3 linked regions of the Saccharomyces cerevisiae S288C genome follow. The protein of the gene in region 2 interacts with the protein of the main gene of each other region in a pairwise test. Each region holds a gene or a part of one and is shown on either strand. Other genes may lie near its edges.

What was found. Proteins that work in one complex are often made in the same cells at the same time.
Region 1: the proteins of FTR1 (region 2) and YLR326W interact in a protein complementation assay, tested with the Saccharomyces cerevisiae proteins (2 studies listed by BioGRID).
Region 3: the proteins of FTR1 (region 2) and TPO3 interact in a protein complementation assay, tested with the Saccharomyces cerevisiae proteins (one large-scale study listed by BioGRID).

Annotation. Positions count from the first base shown.
Region 1 is NC_001144.5:780,244-784,273, forward strand, and holds YLR326W (uncharacterized protein), read left to right. Parts: upstream 1-1,930; coding exon 1,931-2,653; downstream 2,654-4,030. Other genes in the region: PEX30 (peroxisome biogenesis protein), read left to right, coding at 1-543; 60S ribosomal protein eL38 RPL38, read right to left, coding at 900-1,136; TMA10 (Tma10p), read right to left, coding at 2,884-3,144.
Region 2 is NC_001137.3:458,490-463,465, reverse strand, and holds FTR1 (high-affinity iron permease FTR1), read left to right. Parts: upstream 1-1,725; coding exon 1,726-2,940; downstream 2,941-4,976. Other genes in the region: cohesin-loading factor complex subunit SCC4, read left to right, coding at 1-498; RNA-binding protein LSM5, read right to left, coding at 600-881; YER145C-A (uncharacterized protein), read left to right, coding at 643-1,080; putative ubiquitin-specific protease UBP5, read left to right, coding at 3,243-4,976. UniProt on the Saccharomyces cerevisiae protein: Permease for high affinity iron uptake.
Region 3 is NC_001148.4:836,532-841,735, forward strand, and holds TPO3 (spermine transporter), read right to left. Parts: upstream 3,247-5,204; coding exon 1,378-3,246; downstream 1-1,377. Other genes in the region: NCA2 (Nca2p), read right to left, coding at 1-882; TDA6 (Tda6p), read left to right, coding at 4,735-5,204. UniProt on the Saccharomyces cerevisiae protein: Cell membrane polyamine/proton antiporter, involved in the detoxification of excess polyamines in the cytoplasm. Recognizes spermine, but not spermidine.

The DNA of each region.
Region 1 (4,030 bases), on a different chromosome or scaffold from region 2:
GACAAGACATGGAGGCTAGACATGACTAATGACGGTGCCATTCAAGTGCCCAATTCAAAGGCAAGAACTTCCGCAGATCCCTCCCCTGACGAGGGATTTATATATTACGACAATACCTGGAAAAAACCAAGTAAAGAAGATTCCTTTTCTAAATATACAAGAAGAAGAAGATGGGTAAGAACCGCAGAATTGGTCAAAACTTCTGACTTTGATGAAAGCGTGATAAATTCGAATAGAAATTCTGCCATTGAACAAAAGGTTGAAGAAAACAGCACGAATGGTTTAACCGCTGAGCAAGAGCTTGGGAGCAACAAGCAAGAGAAAGATAATGCGAAAAAAGTAGGAGAGCCTACAACAGAAGAGACAAAAGAATTTGCCGAAGCATCAAACATCAACGAAGGCGAGTTTGAAAGAATTTCCTCGACCGATGAAGAAGTTTTAAAATCTAGGGCAAGAGATCGACTGGCAAAAGTATTAGATGATACTGAAGAGAAAGAGCAATCAAATCCAACCATTGGTCGCGATAGCAAGAAGGCCGTATGATGCTCGCTCCCGTTTTTACCTTTACATAATATAATCTCTAATTTACTTTATTACACAAATGGTAACTCCCTTTAAATAAACTTAAAAAAGAACGTATAGAACTCTCTTCTTCAATGAATAGTAATCCAATTTTTTTTATTAACTATACAACGTTATGACTTTAAAAATTAAAAAATATGTTTATGAGTAGTAAGAAAAACAAAAGGAAACAAAAACAAAAAAAGTTATAAAGCCTATTTCTACTTCCTGTATAACGAACACAAATGGATATTATTCTTTATGCGGATGGGAAAGTATTCTTAGTTTTTTTTGTTCCAGTCTCGTTATGATAACACTCCGATCATTCCTTATTTTTCTTATAATCTGTTAACCTTCAAAGTTGGTGGCAAAGATTGGATCAATTTCTTAGCCTTACCAGCATCGTTGATAACCAAAGTGTACAAAGAAGAAGAGCCTCTAACCTTGAACTTGGTTTGTCTGAATGGCTTACCGGCCTTGTTCAATTTTTTGTTAATCTTAACAGTGGCGGTCTTAACGTCAGCTCTTCTGGTCAATTCCAAAAATTGTTTGATGTCGGTGATTTCTCTAGCCATTTTTCCTTGATATTTTGTCGTACTATATTCAACCTGAAATAAAAAACTAACAGTTGAAATATTTCTACATTGAAATTAGAAAATTTAATTCTTTAGATTGAAGATTCAATATTGTGCAAAAGCGTACAGCAGCAATCACGACTCTACATGCCATAGAGCTTGGAAAACTCTCCATAATTTTCCACTCGAACGTATGATGCTCCGTCTATTTTTTTCAACAGTTGCACGGACGAGTCCTCCTTTTCGCAAGGCATTTTAATTGTGTGGGTTTATGAAAATGCACGGATGCATTTTCTCTAGATGAAAATTCCGTCTTGGAATAATATCGGAATGAGCTAAAAGAACACCAGTACGCGAATATGTGAGATGCCCTGTTTTGTCACATAACAGCGGCAGTTAATTTGGCGTCTTTTCTGGGAAGCGAGTTTATTTGGCAAGGCTATGATGTTTTATAATACTAATCACGCATTGCAACTTCACAAAGTAGTTGTGACATGTGGATGTAATAGCGTTACTTTTCTTTTTGTTTATTGCTATTTGTTTCTATTTTCTTTTTTTAAATCGCGCTAATACGTGGAAAAATGCGTAGAAGCCGGGAATGGGACGTGATTATGAGATCATAACATGACTGCGAGCTAGAGAGCATTGGAAGAATTTGCTTTTTTGTTCAGTTCCCTACTCATATATTTGTTTCATAGAAGTCGTAGTATACGTGAGACAAGAGCACTTGAAAATAAATCTTGGATCTGCTGGGAGCAATATCATCAAGTAAAATAAGGGGGAAACCATATCAAATGTCAGGGTTCATTAAGAGCACGTTGCTTGGTCTAGGCCAAGATTACTTAGAAGATCAATATCAAGAGTTCGCAGAACAGCATTTCCAGCCAACCAGGGATCCGTTTTATGAAACGAATAAAGATGGTAAAAAGCACCGCCGCAGACTGCCATATTATTGCACTAAGGATGAAAGTAAAGCGTGGAAAAAGGTCCAAAACAAAGCCTGGCTGCATGACAAATCACTGTGCGGATGCTGTTGCTGGACAAACACTATAGGATGGGCACCATTACTTGCACTTCTACCGGTTATAGGACCCTTATTGATGTATTGGGTGCATGATAAGTTGATTGAATTGGCAGATGACAGGTATAAATTGCCTGCGGAAATCAAGGTGAAGATGCATGGTAATATCGTTATCGATTTACTTATTAGTTTAGTTCCTATTCTGGGAAGTGTTTTTGCATGGTTGCACGCATGTTCCACGAGAAACGCAGCTATAGTTTACAATTTTGTTGGAAAAAGGGCATTGGAAAGAAAGCAAGCGGAGCTCATGCATCAAAAAGAAGAAAATGAGAAACATTCCAATGCCAATACTGCACCTCCAGTAGTTGGTGGCAACAAAAATGTGAATGGAAACAGAAATAATAGTAAAATGTATAACAGACCGCCTGTGACAGCTCCACCTGCACCAGCATACACGCGCAGTACTAACGGTCGCCCCCAAAGAGGTTACAGGTGAACAAACCGGCCACGGTAAGGCTACATTCTTATCAACAAATATGGGCAATCAAAAACTTATAATGTAAATTTTATTTTTTATCGTAAACATGTATTTAAGAAGTAATATAAAGGATGTTTGACATGATCATTTTATATATGCATACACGTTATTGAAGTTATATGGTCGTTAAATCATTAAAAGGCCCGTTTCTTTGAAATATGCTAACGGAATCAAACCGGTCGGGTCGGTTAGATGTGGTATTGTTGCAAATCAGAAAGCCTTCTTTCATTGTTTTGGGAGTTAGAGCCCCTTCTGGTCTTGTTGAAGACTGTCTTAATTTCGCCAGAATCGATTAAGTCATTAATCTCATCGCCAGGCTTGCCCCAATTGCCTTTCCCATAGCCTCCTCTCTTGACGTGGTTGGGAGACTCCCCAAAGTTGCCGTTATGGGTGAAATACTTTGGGTTAGACTTTGCTTCGTGGACTGTCCATTTGCTAGTTCTGGTCATGTTTGAATTGTGTTTGTGTTAGAAATTTGTGTGCTTTAATGTTATGTTATAATGAAATCTTATTAGATTTATTTAACGTTTTTGCTGTGCTTATAATAAACATTACATAATAAAAGGAGTAGAAGAAAGTGGTAGAGAGGAGTACAAATCTACCTGCCAGAACTCTCTCCTTATATATATTTCCAGTGGTGTCTGGATTACCTACCTCAAGCCATACCATATCCATACCATATCCATAAACGCCTACAAAATTTCTACCCCAATCCAGCAGCTTCTATCACTATCTCGTATACCACCATAGGCACCACCACTGTTTGTGTAAATTTACTCCTGAGGGGGGGGTGGCTCAACACGGTGTAGGCCTTCTTCCCGCACAATCCGATGAAACCCCACAATCGCCTCCGTCTCTTCCACTGTGCACGGCGCTAGCTCAACATCTTCCCCGCCACATTTACTGTGGCAAAGAAGGTGCATAATCTAAAAAAACATACGTATGAGAATGGAAAGGGCAAGATAATATCGGACCGTAGTGAGTCACTTGCTTTTGGTATTGCAACCAACTGCCGCCCCTCTTCCCGCTCTTGCACCAAAACGCTAAATGCCCATTGTGATGGCTCATCCACCCTCACGACGAAGTAAGACCCGGGGCACAAGAAAATACGAGATCATAACAGTTCGAGTCCGTTTATTGTGTGCGGTTTTGGTACGCTTTTTCGTGAGGTGTACTACCATTCATGAGAGTCGTTTTAGGAGCTGTCATGAAAGATATGTATCTTGTTGATGAACTGTAAAAATTTGCAGAAATTGCGCTATTCCGTTTATTTCATTGTCGATTCGGTGTTAATATTAGGGGTACAAAATATACTAGAAGTTCTCCCTCGAGGAT
Region 2 (4,976 bases):
TGCAACAAGGTGTGGCTTCAGGTGGAGAAATTGCTACAAGAAACGGATCTGCAGTTCAACCCCATATGGGAGTGCACAGTAACGATCCTATGGCTTTTCAGCCATTTCGAGCCGTTCAGTTGGAACCCGCTGCCATGTAGTGACAAGCAGCGCGCCGAGTACGTGTCGAAGCTCCGCGAGTTCTACTCTAGCAACAAGTTCGTTGCCGGAGAAGCCGTTGCGGACAACCGCTTCAAATTGAAGAAGGCTCTGTTGCTGCAAATACTGGTAAACTACTTAGGCGGTCGAATGCTCGAACACGATCTGGGCGAGATCTATGCGATTTCAGCAAAGTGTTTCGATATGTGCCGCCAGCAGGGCGGCATGCGCAAGGTCCAATACGTGATCGGAATATGGCATTTAATGAATTGTACGGTGGCGATGCGGGGAAAAGACGTCGCTCTCACGAACGCGAAGCTGGAGGCGCTGGTTAAGCAAATCACCAGTGTCAAACAATAAACCAAAAAAAAAAAAAGAAACACTTGATTTCCTTTATCTATTTTTATACTTAATTATTTTTTTTAGATGCACTATACAAATTCGCGTTAATTTTTGCCTTTTTACAACGCCTCCGTAGGGGTCTTTTTGCCGCCTGGCACAAGGATGGCAATATTGTTGCCGCTTAAAAGCATTCTGCCATGGTGCTGCATAACTTTCTCATTTCTGCTCTCGTCCTCAGGATCGATAAGCCACTCGACAGCGTCTTCCAGTATAACGTTGACGAAGTCGTCGAAACCAACTAACGTGCCCTCGAACTCGCGGTTCGACTGCAGCACAATCAACACTTTCTGGTTAATTGTTTTATCTATGACTTCCAAAGGCAAAATCTCCGGTAGACTCATTTTGCGCGCTTCTGTGTATGCTTGTGAGTGCACGTGTATACGCTATGCTTGTTGTGAGACCATCTATCCGCCAAGGAAGCCTTTTTCGCTTTCTCTGTATTTTTTCTACTTCAATAAGAAAGCAAGTATTCTGTTTTGCTACCCGGATGCAAAGACAAAACCCGAGCATCCGGGTAATAAAAGAGCAGGGTCCGGCTGAAGGTGCCAAAAAAGACCAAAAAGGGCTATATTATCTCTCTCTTACGATTGCCTCTGGTTAAAAAATGAAATAGATAATAAAAGGGCAGCAAAGAAAAAAAAGAAGAATACAATATACGTATACGTTCTCAACAATTTTTCGTCCTGTTTTTTTCTTGACCACGGTCACTACTAACTCCTGAGACATCAGACCAACGTGTAGAAAAAAAGAAATCGGGTCCGGCACTGACACACGCTCTGCGCCAATCAACCAGGGCGCATCGAGCATTCTTTCCAGGCCAGGGTGCAGAAATACTATTATTAAGTGCGCGAATACTGCTGGTGCATTAAACGAGCGAGTACAGTGAGCCCGCCGCTGACTGCCGACTCACGCCAGGCCGCTATTTCCTTCCCCCGCCCGCGTAAGCCGTGCCGAGCACCGTCGCAGCAGTAAGAAGGTGCGCATTTCATTCTCTGCACAGCGTAGATGAATGCACCCGATTTCTAAGTTGGTGTTGCAAGGCCCGGTGGAAGCGATGGGCTGTAGTTCGACCTTGAGCTTTTAGTTATATAAAATGCTCAATGTGAGCAAAAAAATACATAACACGACGGATTGTACGTTGTCGAAATCTTCTCTCAGCAGGTCATCACACATATACTTCCCGCCATGCCTAACAAAGTGTTTAACGTGGCCGTTTTCTTCGTTGTGTTCAGAGAGTGCTTGGAAGCAGTGATTGTTATTTCCGTGCTGCTATCGTTTTTGAAACAGGCAATCGGGGAACATGACCGGGCGCTGTACCGTAAATTAAGGATTCAGGTTTGGGTCGGTGTGTTACTCGGGTTCATCATTTGTCTGGCCATCGGTGCAGGTTTCATCGGTGCGTACTATTCGCTGCAGAAGGATATTTTCGGAAGCGCGGAAGACTTGTGGGAAGGTATCTTTTGTATGATTGCGACGATAATGATCTCGATGATGGGTATTCCTATGTTGAGAATGAATAAGATGCAGAGTAAGTGGAGAGTGAAGATTGCGCGGTCGTTGGTGGAGATTCCTCACCGTAAGAGAGACTATTTCAAGATTGGGTTCTTGAGTAGAAGATATGCTATGTTCCTTTTGCCGTTTATTACTGTCTTGAGAGAAGGTTTGGAAGCTGTTGTGTTCGTTGCCGGTGCAGGTATTACCACACAGGGCTCGCACGCCTCTGCTTACCCATTGCCCGTTGTGGTTGGTTTGATATGTGGTGGTCTTGTTGGGTATTTGTTGTACTATGGTGCTTCGAAATCCTCGCTGCAGATTTTCTTGATTTTGTCTACTTCGATCTTGTACCTGATCTCCGCCGGTCTTTTCTCTCGTGGTGCGTGGTACTTTGAAAATTACAGATTCAACCTTGCCAGTGGTGGTGATGCTTCCGAAGGCGGTGATGGTAATGGGTCTTATAACATCAGAAAGGCCGTTTACCATGTCAATTGTTGCAACCCAGAACTGGACAATGGGTGGGATATCTTCAATGCTTTGCTTGGATGGCAGAACACCGGCTACTTGTCATCCATGCTTTGTTACAACATCTATTGGTTGGTTCTTATCATTGTGTTGAGTTTAATGATATTCGAAGAAAGGCGTGGTCACTTGCCTTTCACCAAAAACTTACAATTGAAACACTTGAACCCAGGATACTGGATCAAGAACAAGAAAAAGCAGGAGTTGACGGAAGAGCAAAAGAGACAACTGTTTGCCAAGATGGAGAACATCAACTTCAATGAAGATGGTGAGATCAATGTGCAAGAGAACTACGAACTTCCCGAGCAAACTACCAGTCATTCCTCGTCTCAAAACGTCGCCACAGACAAGGAAGTCCTCCACGTTAAAGCCGACTCTCTTTGAATGAAGTCTAGCACAGGGTGGGAGTTTTCCACCTATTTTCTGTTGATAAAAATACTACATTTATATACATATATACAATAATTTCTAATATCGTTTTTATAAAGTTGGCCTTGTCTGTACGGCGTCGCAAAACAAGAACCCCTGGTCCAATTGATCTACCGGGCATTGATTTTTTTTCTTTTTTCCTTGCGCCTCACTTCAACACATCAAGTAAACACCAGCTATATTTAGTTGCTAGGTATTCTCCAACGTATGTGGAGTCCTTTCTTTATTATCTCTCTACACAAATAGGCACAAGCGTAATGGGCTCAGAACAAGCCTTAAGTGAGGTTGTCGAATCTGCTAAAGAGCGGTTCGGCAGGCTTAGGCATTTAGTTCAGAAGTTTCTTGATGATGACGACGTGCCACAAGAGTGTCTGCCTTTGCTCCAAGAATGCGCAGAAATATGGTCTAGTTATGTGGACGCATGCCAGGATATAACCATGCAGGCCCCTAAAGAAGATGCAAACCGGTTGTCAAAGGGGTTTCTCCGATTGAATGAAACAGCTTTTTTATATTACATGATCGTATATACGCTCTTGGAGGATACTCTACCAAGACTAAAGGAATTTTCGAGCAACAAGGACCAGAATGTTAGAAATTTGTACGGGGAGAGAATCCAGCTTTTGCATAATGACCCAAATATTGAGCGGATTCGAAATGTCATTGAAAATTACCCTAAATTTATACAGTTGCAAACTATAGAGCCTGGAAAATTAAGTTCAATGTTGCATTTTCATGGTGACGCTCTCTTGCTTATCGATGTACGGCCCAGGTCTGAATTCGTTAGGGCCCATATCAAATGCAAAAACATTATATGCATCGATCCTGCCTCATTTAAGGATTCTTTTACAGACCAACAAATTGAAAGTGTCTCTTTGATCACTTCGCCGCACTCAGATATCACTTTCTTTTCAAATCGAGACAAGTTCAAGTTCATTATTTTATATACTGACACTCAATTGCATAATAATTTCCAGCAAAGGCAAACTCGCATCCTTGCGAAGATTCTTTCCCAAAATTCAGTAATTAAACCGCTGAGTGGGACGAAAATACTCATTTTGGAAAATGGGTTCTCAAACTGGGTTAAATTAGGTGGGGCGTATCAATCATCTGTCAGTGAAACAGCGCATCTTACATCCTCGTCTTCAACGCCAGCTTTTGGTAGTCCGCAAGTCCCAACAGGCTTGTTCAATCAGAAATCTCTATCTCCAAATAAAGATAAGAGTATGCCGATGGTATCCATGAATACGCAGCCTTTGCTAACAACGGTGCAAAGGCCTCAATTACCCTTATACTATTCAGATTTGCCCATTATACCGCAACCAAGCCCCAACAGAAATTCTCCCACCGTTCAAAAATTTAGTCCACATCCACCAACCACTCTCTCAAAACTCAATACACCCTCGACCATTCAAAATAAAGCAAACACTGTGGAAAGAATATCGCCAGATATCCGCGCTGCACAAGCCCATGCCTATTTGCCCCCTGCATCGAATGTATTCTCGCCACGTATTCCGCCTTTACCACAACAGAACTTGTCTTCGTCGAGGCAGACCATCCTAAACAACTCACAAGTGCTTGATCTAGATCTTATAGTAGGATTGGAAAATATAGGTAACTGTTGTTATATGAACTGTATACTTCAATGTTTGGTGGGAACACACGATTTGGTTCGAATGTTTTTGGATAACACATATCTGAATTTTATTAATTTTGATAGTTCAAGAGGTTCTAAGGGGTTGCTAGCTAAAAATTTCGCCATCTTGGTCAATAATATGCACAGACACGGTGCATTCACACCTCCTAACGTAAGAACGATACCAGTTCAGACTATTCAGTTTAAAAAAATTTGCGGCCATATCAACCCCATGTATAGTGATTCAATGCAGCAAGATTGTCAAGAATTTTGTCAATTTTTGCTTGATGGCTTGCACGAGGATTTGAACCAAAACGGCAGCAAAAAGCATCTTAAACAGTTATCAGATGAGGAAGAA
Region 3 (5,204 bases), on a different chromosome or scaffold from region 2:
TAGTAAATTCGAATCAGACATGGCTAATCCAAAGAAGTCCTGTAAAGATTTTAGACGTCTTTCGTAGTTCGGTAAATGTACTTCGGTGAACATACCATTTTCTTCTGGTTGTTGATCGAATTCAGTGATCAACTGCCCCAGTTTAATAGTATAATACTTTGATGATTGAGTGACCATATCAAGTCTTTCGTGCACTATACCGCGAGGTATATCAGAAACCAATGAAGCTATTTCAATTGGTTTCTTCGGTAGCCCGACAAACCTGAAGTTCCGAATCACCATAAATTTGTTTATTCTTGGGCGTATTTTTTCTAGTAAATCAACTGACAAGGCCTTTAGGGACCATTTTTGATGCGACAGTTTTTTCTTATTTACATCCTTCAAAACAGTTTGAGATAAAAGACGTATTGTCGATACTGAATTTTGTAAACAGTAAAGAAAAGACTTTAGGATTGAATCACTTACTGTTTTGTAGTACTGTTCAGCTTCATACACGGCAGGTAAACCTTGGACGCATTCGTTGGTCACAGAATAGTAGCACAATAATATAATGTACTCAAATATGGCTTGGCTAACAAGATATTGCAAATCTCCGTCTTCAAAGGATGAGGGATCAGCAATGTCCTTGCAAATATTGTATAGCAAATCAAAAGGCACCGAACAATAAGAGTCAATATTGTCAGTTTTGATTGAAATGCAGATTTTTTCAACAATTGACCTGATCAATTGTAATTGATCTTGTAACCTACTTAGTTCTTCATTTTCCTCACGTACGTCTTGAATCAATTGTTGCTGTGAATCAAATGCAACCTCTCGTAGTGATTCCTCTAATGAATGACTTATCTCTTCAAAAGATTTCAAAATACGCCTATTGATGATCATTTAAGAATATTAATTAAGGAACCTGCAATTTTGCAATAGGACTATTTTGTTGACTTTGTTGTTATTACTAAGTTTTAAAGTGGAAAAGAATTCCGACCCTTTGTTTAGTGAGTGGGGGTCAATCAAATTCGTATTCCTCGGTCAAATGAGGAGGAATGTAAAAACCGAAAATAAAGTCATCGCATAGGTACAAGAAGAATGAACTTGAGAAGTTCAAATTTCTAATTCAATTTTTTTTTTTTTCTATACATATAAATTAATAAAGTTACTCACGGTTTGAAGGTCAATCAATATATTTGTTTAGGATAGCAATAGATAAAAGAACAATAGAGAAAGAATGTAAAATACGTAAAAATATATGTACATTACTGTCGGATAATGGTTTGAATGCATGTTTGATATGTTTGCTTATGTTTGCTTATGTTTGCTTATGTTTTTATCATTACTACTACTATAATTTTTCATTATTATGCTCGATTCGTAAAATCGTTACTCTTATTCAATACTATCTATGGAATAATCCTTCTTGGATAACTTATGTCTCAAACCTTTGCCCCAGTAAGAAAATGCAAAAGGTAAAGCAATCATAGCAGTGGAGATGAAAGCCAACAACCAAGAACCCCAGTGCAGATTCAATTTGTGGTACATTTGAATGGTAAACAAGGGGAAGGCAGCACCACCGGCGGATCTTAAGAAAACCTTTGTAGCCAGAGCACTGGATGCGTATTGGACGTAGCAATCAATAATGTAATTATTCAATGAATAATAAATCAACACCATACCGAAACCAAAAGCTAAACCAGCTGAAGCTGGACCAACCCAAATAATATGTTTATAAGCGGTAGCACCCAGGATCCATAAAGCAATTGCAGCAAATGGAGCACCGATCTTAGCACCTAGCAAACGATCTTCAGGAGTAGGTTTACGCTGTTTGACAATTTGTAAATACTTGTTTTCACAGTAGAAAGTTGTGGCTAACGCCCAAAGAGCACCGATAACAATAGGAATAAACATCAAACCCACAAGGTTGTCTTTGTAGCCATATAGTTCACCGAAAATGACAGGGAAGGCAAAGAAGAACGCATATAGTAGAGAGTAAATCAAACACACGTAGAAACAAGTAGCAACTAGAACAGGTTCAGTGACAGAGAAGTACAAAGGTCTCAACAGACAAGCCCTCATCATTTCACCCATACTGACACCTTGCGCTTCCTGCTCAGTCATAATCTTGGGATTACCAGTTTCCTTTCTTAATCTAGCAGCCTTTCTCTTCAAGATAACTGGAGCGTACGTTTCTGGGATGGCAGAAGATATGATCCACATAACACCTGCAAAGGCCATATTGACCCAGAAAATCAGGTCCATACGTCCGGTAGAAACGGAAATAAAACCGTTAACTAGTGGACCAACAACGGGACCAACGTAAGGAGCAAAAGCGAAGAAAGCAATAGCCTTACCTCTTGTTTCACTTGGGAACATATCGGCAATAGACCCACCAACTAAACACAAACCAGATGATGACCAAACACCACATAAAAATCTACAAGCTAAAAGACTACCTAGATTTGGAGCTAAGGCGCAAGGGATATTGAAGATGACATAAAGACCCATAGAAACAAAGTAAGCAACTCTTCTACCGTAAAGATCACTAACAGGAGACCAAATCAAAGGACCCAGCGAGAACCCAATAACCATTAAAGAAACCGATAAAATAGCGGCTTCCATACCTACATGGTATTTCTTTTCAACGGTTCCCAACCCACCACTGATACAAGCAGACCCGTAGGCGACACAAATAACTAAGATTGACAGTAGGACAGTGTAACTCCAACGGATCCATGCAGGCCAGTTATGGGGGTTTTCTGGATCGCCAGTCACAAAGGTAACGAATTCAATTTCCGGATCTAGATCTGGAGCTTCGTCATTCGCACCACTAGAGTCGCCTTCTTTACCCTTTTCGTTATTATCACTTTCTAAAGCATCTTCATTAGAAGAAGGCGAAGAAGCGCCATCGATCTGTCTAGTTCTCGTACGGGAAATCGCAGTAGAAGTTCTACCTATGGAATGTAGAGTGGCGACAGGAACTAAACCTGTAGGGGTTTCTAAAGTATATTCTTCAGGAAAAATCTTATTCTTGCTAGATTGAGGAGCATTAACATCAGGAACGGGGGCTTTGGAGCTCACACCCATGTCCTGCAATGACTTCACGGTTTCCGTCCGGGTCAACTTCAGTTGATTAGGAGCCATGTTGGATTTAGATCCACTCTCTGAAGGGATATATTGTTGCGGCTGCTGACTTTCTACATCAGACAACGAAGATGTTTCGTCTGAATTAAACGAATTTATGGATTCCTGTCTGTTCATTTCTGTTTATCTTTGGCTAGAGGAGTACTAATGCAAAATTAAAATAATGAAGTAAGAAGGGAGAAAGTAATTAGTTATATTAGAAAACTAGACCACGAAATTTGTAGTATAATTATGGGTATGACAATTAAAGAATTAGGGTGAACGCTACCGGTGAGGACAAAAAAGGCTGAACGAAGAAGAAAAATAAAAAGAAGATTAGATCAACGCACCTAGACGAAAAAGAGCAAATACTGCTTATTGTATTCACTTTGGAGAACAGGTTGTAACAGGACAGCTGACAATTGCTAAGTTAAGTAGATTACAAAGACAAATGTTCTTAGGCGAAAAGAATATATAAACTAAAAGAAAAAGTGGAAAAAGGGTACGTGTAAAAAGAGACTAGGATGGTTGAGCAGCGAATGATTGCAAGATATATAAAAGAAACGAGCCAGTTTTACAGCGTTTAACGCAGATCCAGAATATGAACAAAATGCATTAGGAAATAAATGAAAAAAATGGCTCTATGGATCAGGGATCATCATGGCTGCCGGAAACTACGCCGTTCTGTTTTGTTTTTGTTTTTCCTTTTTCCCGTTTGGGTGAAATCAGTGAGCTGTTCCGATCCGTTGGGCGAAGACATTGCCGCAGTGACGAAGCCCGGCTAGTCCGATTGGGCTCCAGTAAACCCCTCGCCAAGCACAGAGAAGCTAGTCAGAGGCCCGCTAGACTGTACTTACTGGTCTTTAGCACACGACGACCGTACTTTGCACGTGGCTGCAGACACATTTTGTATGGAGGGAATGCTTGATTATATAAAGAGCTCTGTTTTTATGTTACCCGTCCAACGTTCTCACCCGGCTCCGCGCTATTTTTTTTTTTTTTTTTTTTTTTTTTCAGACCCACACAAAATCCGCGTAGCCGAGATTGCTTATGTATGTTATCATATTGCCTGTTTGAGATATGCAGGATCAGCATAGCATGTCTCTAACCAAATTGTGGGTCAGTCAATTATGTTGCTCTTTTGGGTATACGCTTTCACCGGATTCTCGAGAAATCGTATAATGCATGCCCCAAAGCAGTGGCCGTTCTCGGAAAAATAAAAATAGTTTATATCTCAATTTAGTTATATGGCTATGACGGAAACGACAAAATCAAATTGAAACTTAGAAAAAATAAAAAACAGCGCATTATTAAGGTTTCATGACTCCGTATTCGCTGTCCTACGTGTAAATAGGAAGAAGAAAAAAGTGAAAAAGGAAGAACCCTTCTTTTGAAGGAAAGCATAACTCGTTACTCATACGACGGATGCGAGATATACTCTCTACGTAGTTGTACTAGCCGAATGAAAAAAGAGAAAGTTCCGAATATGTAAAATTGAAATTTCTCTTCTTTATAATAGAACTAACAATTGAACTTTCCTTTTCTTTTGAAGCTACCGTCAATGACAAAGAAGGCAGCTTTGATAAAGTACTCAATAGGTAAAGCAAACTTCAATTCAGTTAGCGAATGCATTGCGTACTAGCGCGAATATTGTTATGGTTCTTAATAGTAGATCTAAGCGTCATACGGGCGCTTGTCCTTCCACCATTGAAAGATTATGATCCGTTAGAGCCTTTGATGAAAAGAGACATGGCCATGGGTCAACGGAACAGATTCAAAGTCGACGGCCAATTGCCGCCCATACTAAATTCCACAGATGTGACAGATGATCAGAGAAGTCTGCATACGCCTGGAGAGATTCCATCTTATGTCATCAATCATTGTCCCTTAGTGCACTTGTATAGCGAAGAGAAATATTGGCCATCGGACATTGCTGAGTACGTTCAAAACTTCCAAATTAAAGATAAAAACGGCAATTCTATATCCACTCATGAAAATTTGACACTGCATGACTTGAAGGCGGAATACCACGTAGATTTATTTGGCAACAAAACGGAAACGCATATCCCCAGTAGCGAGGTATTTTTAACCAGTTT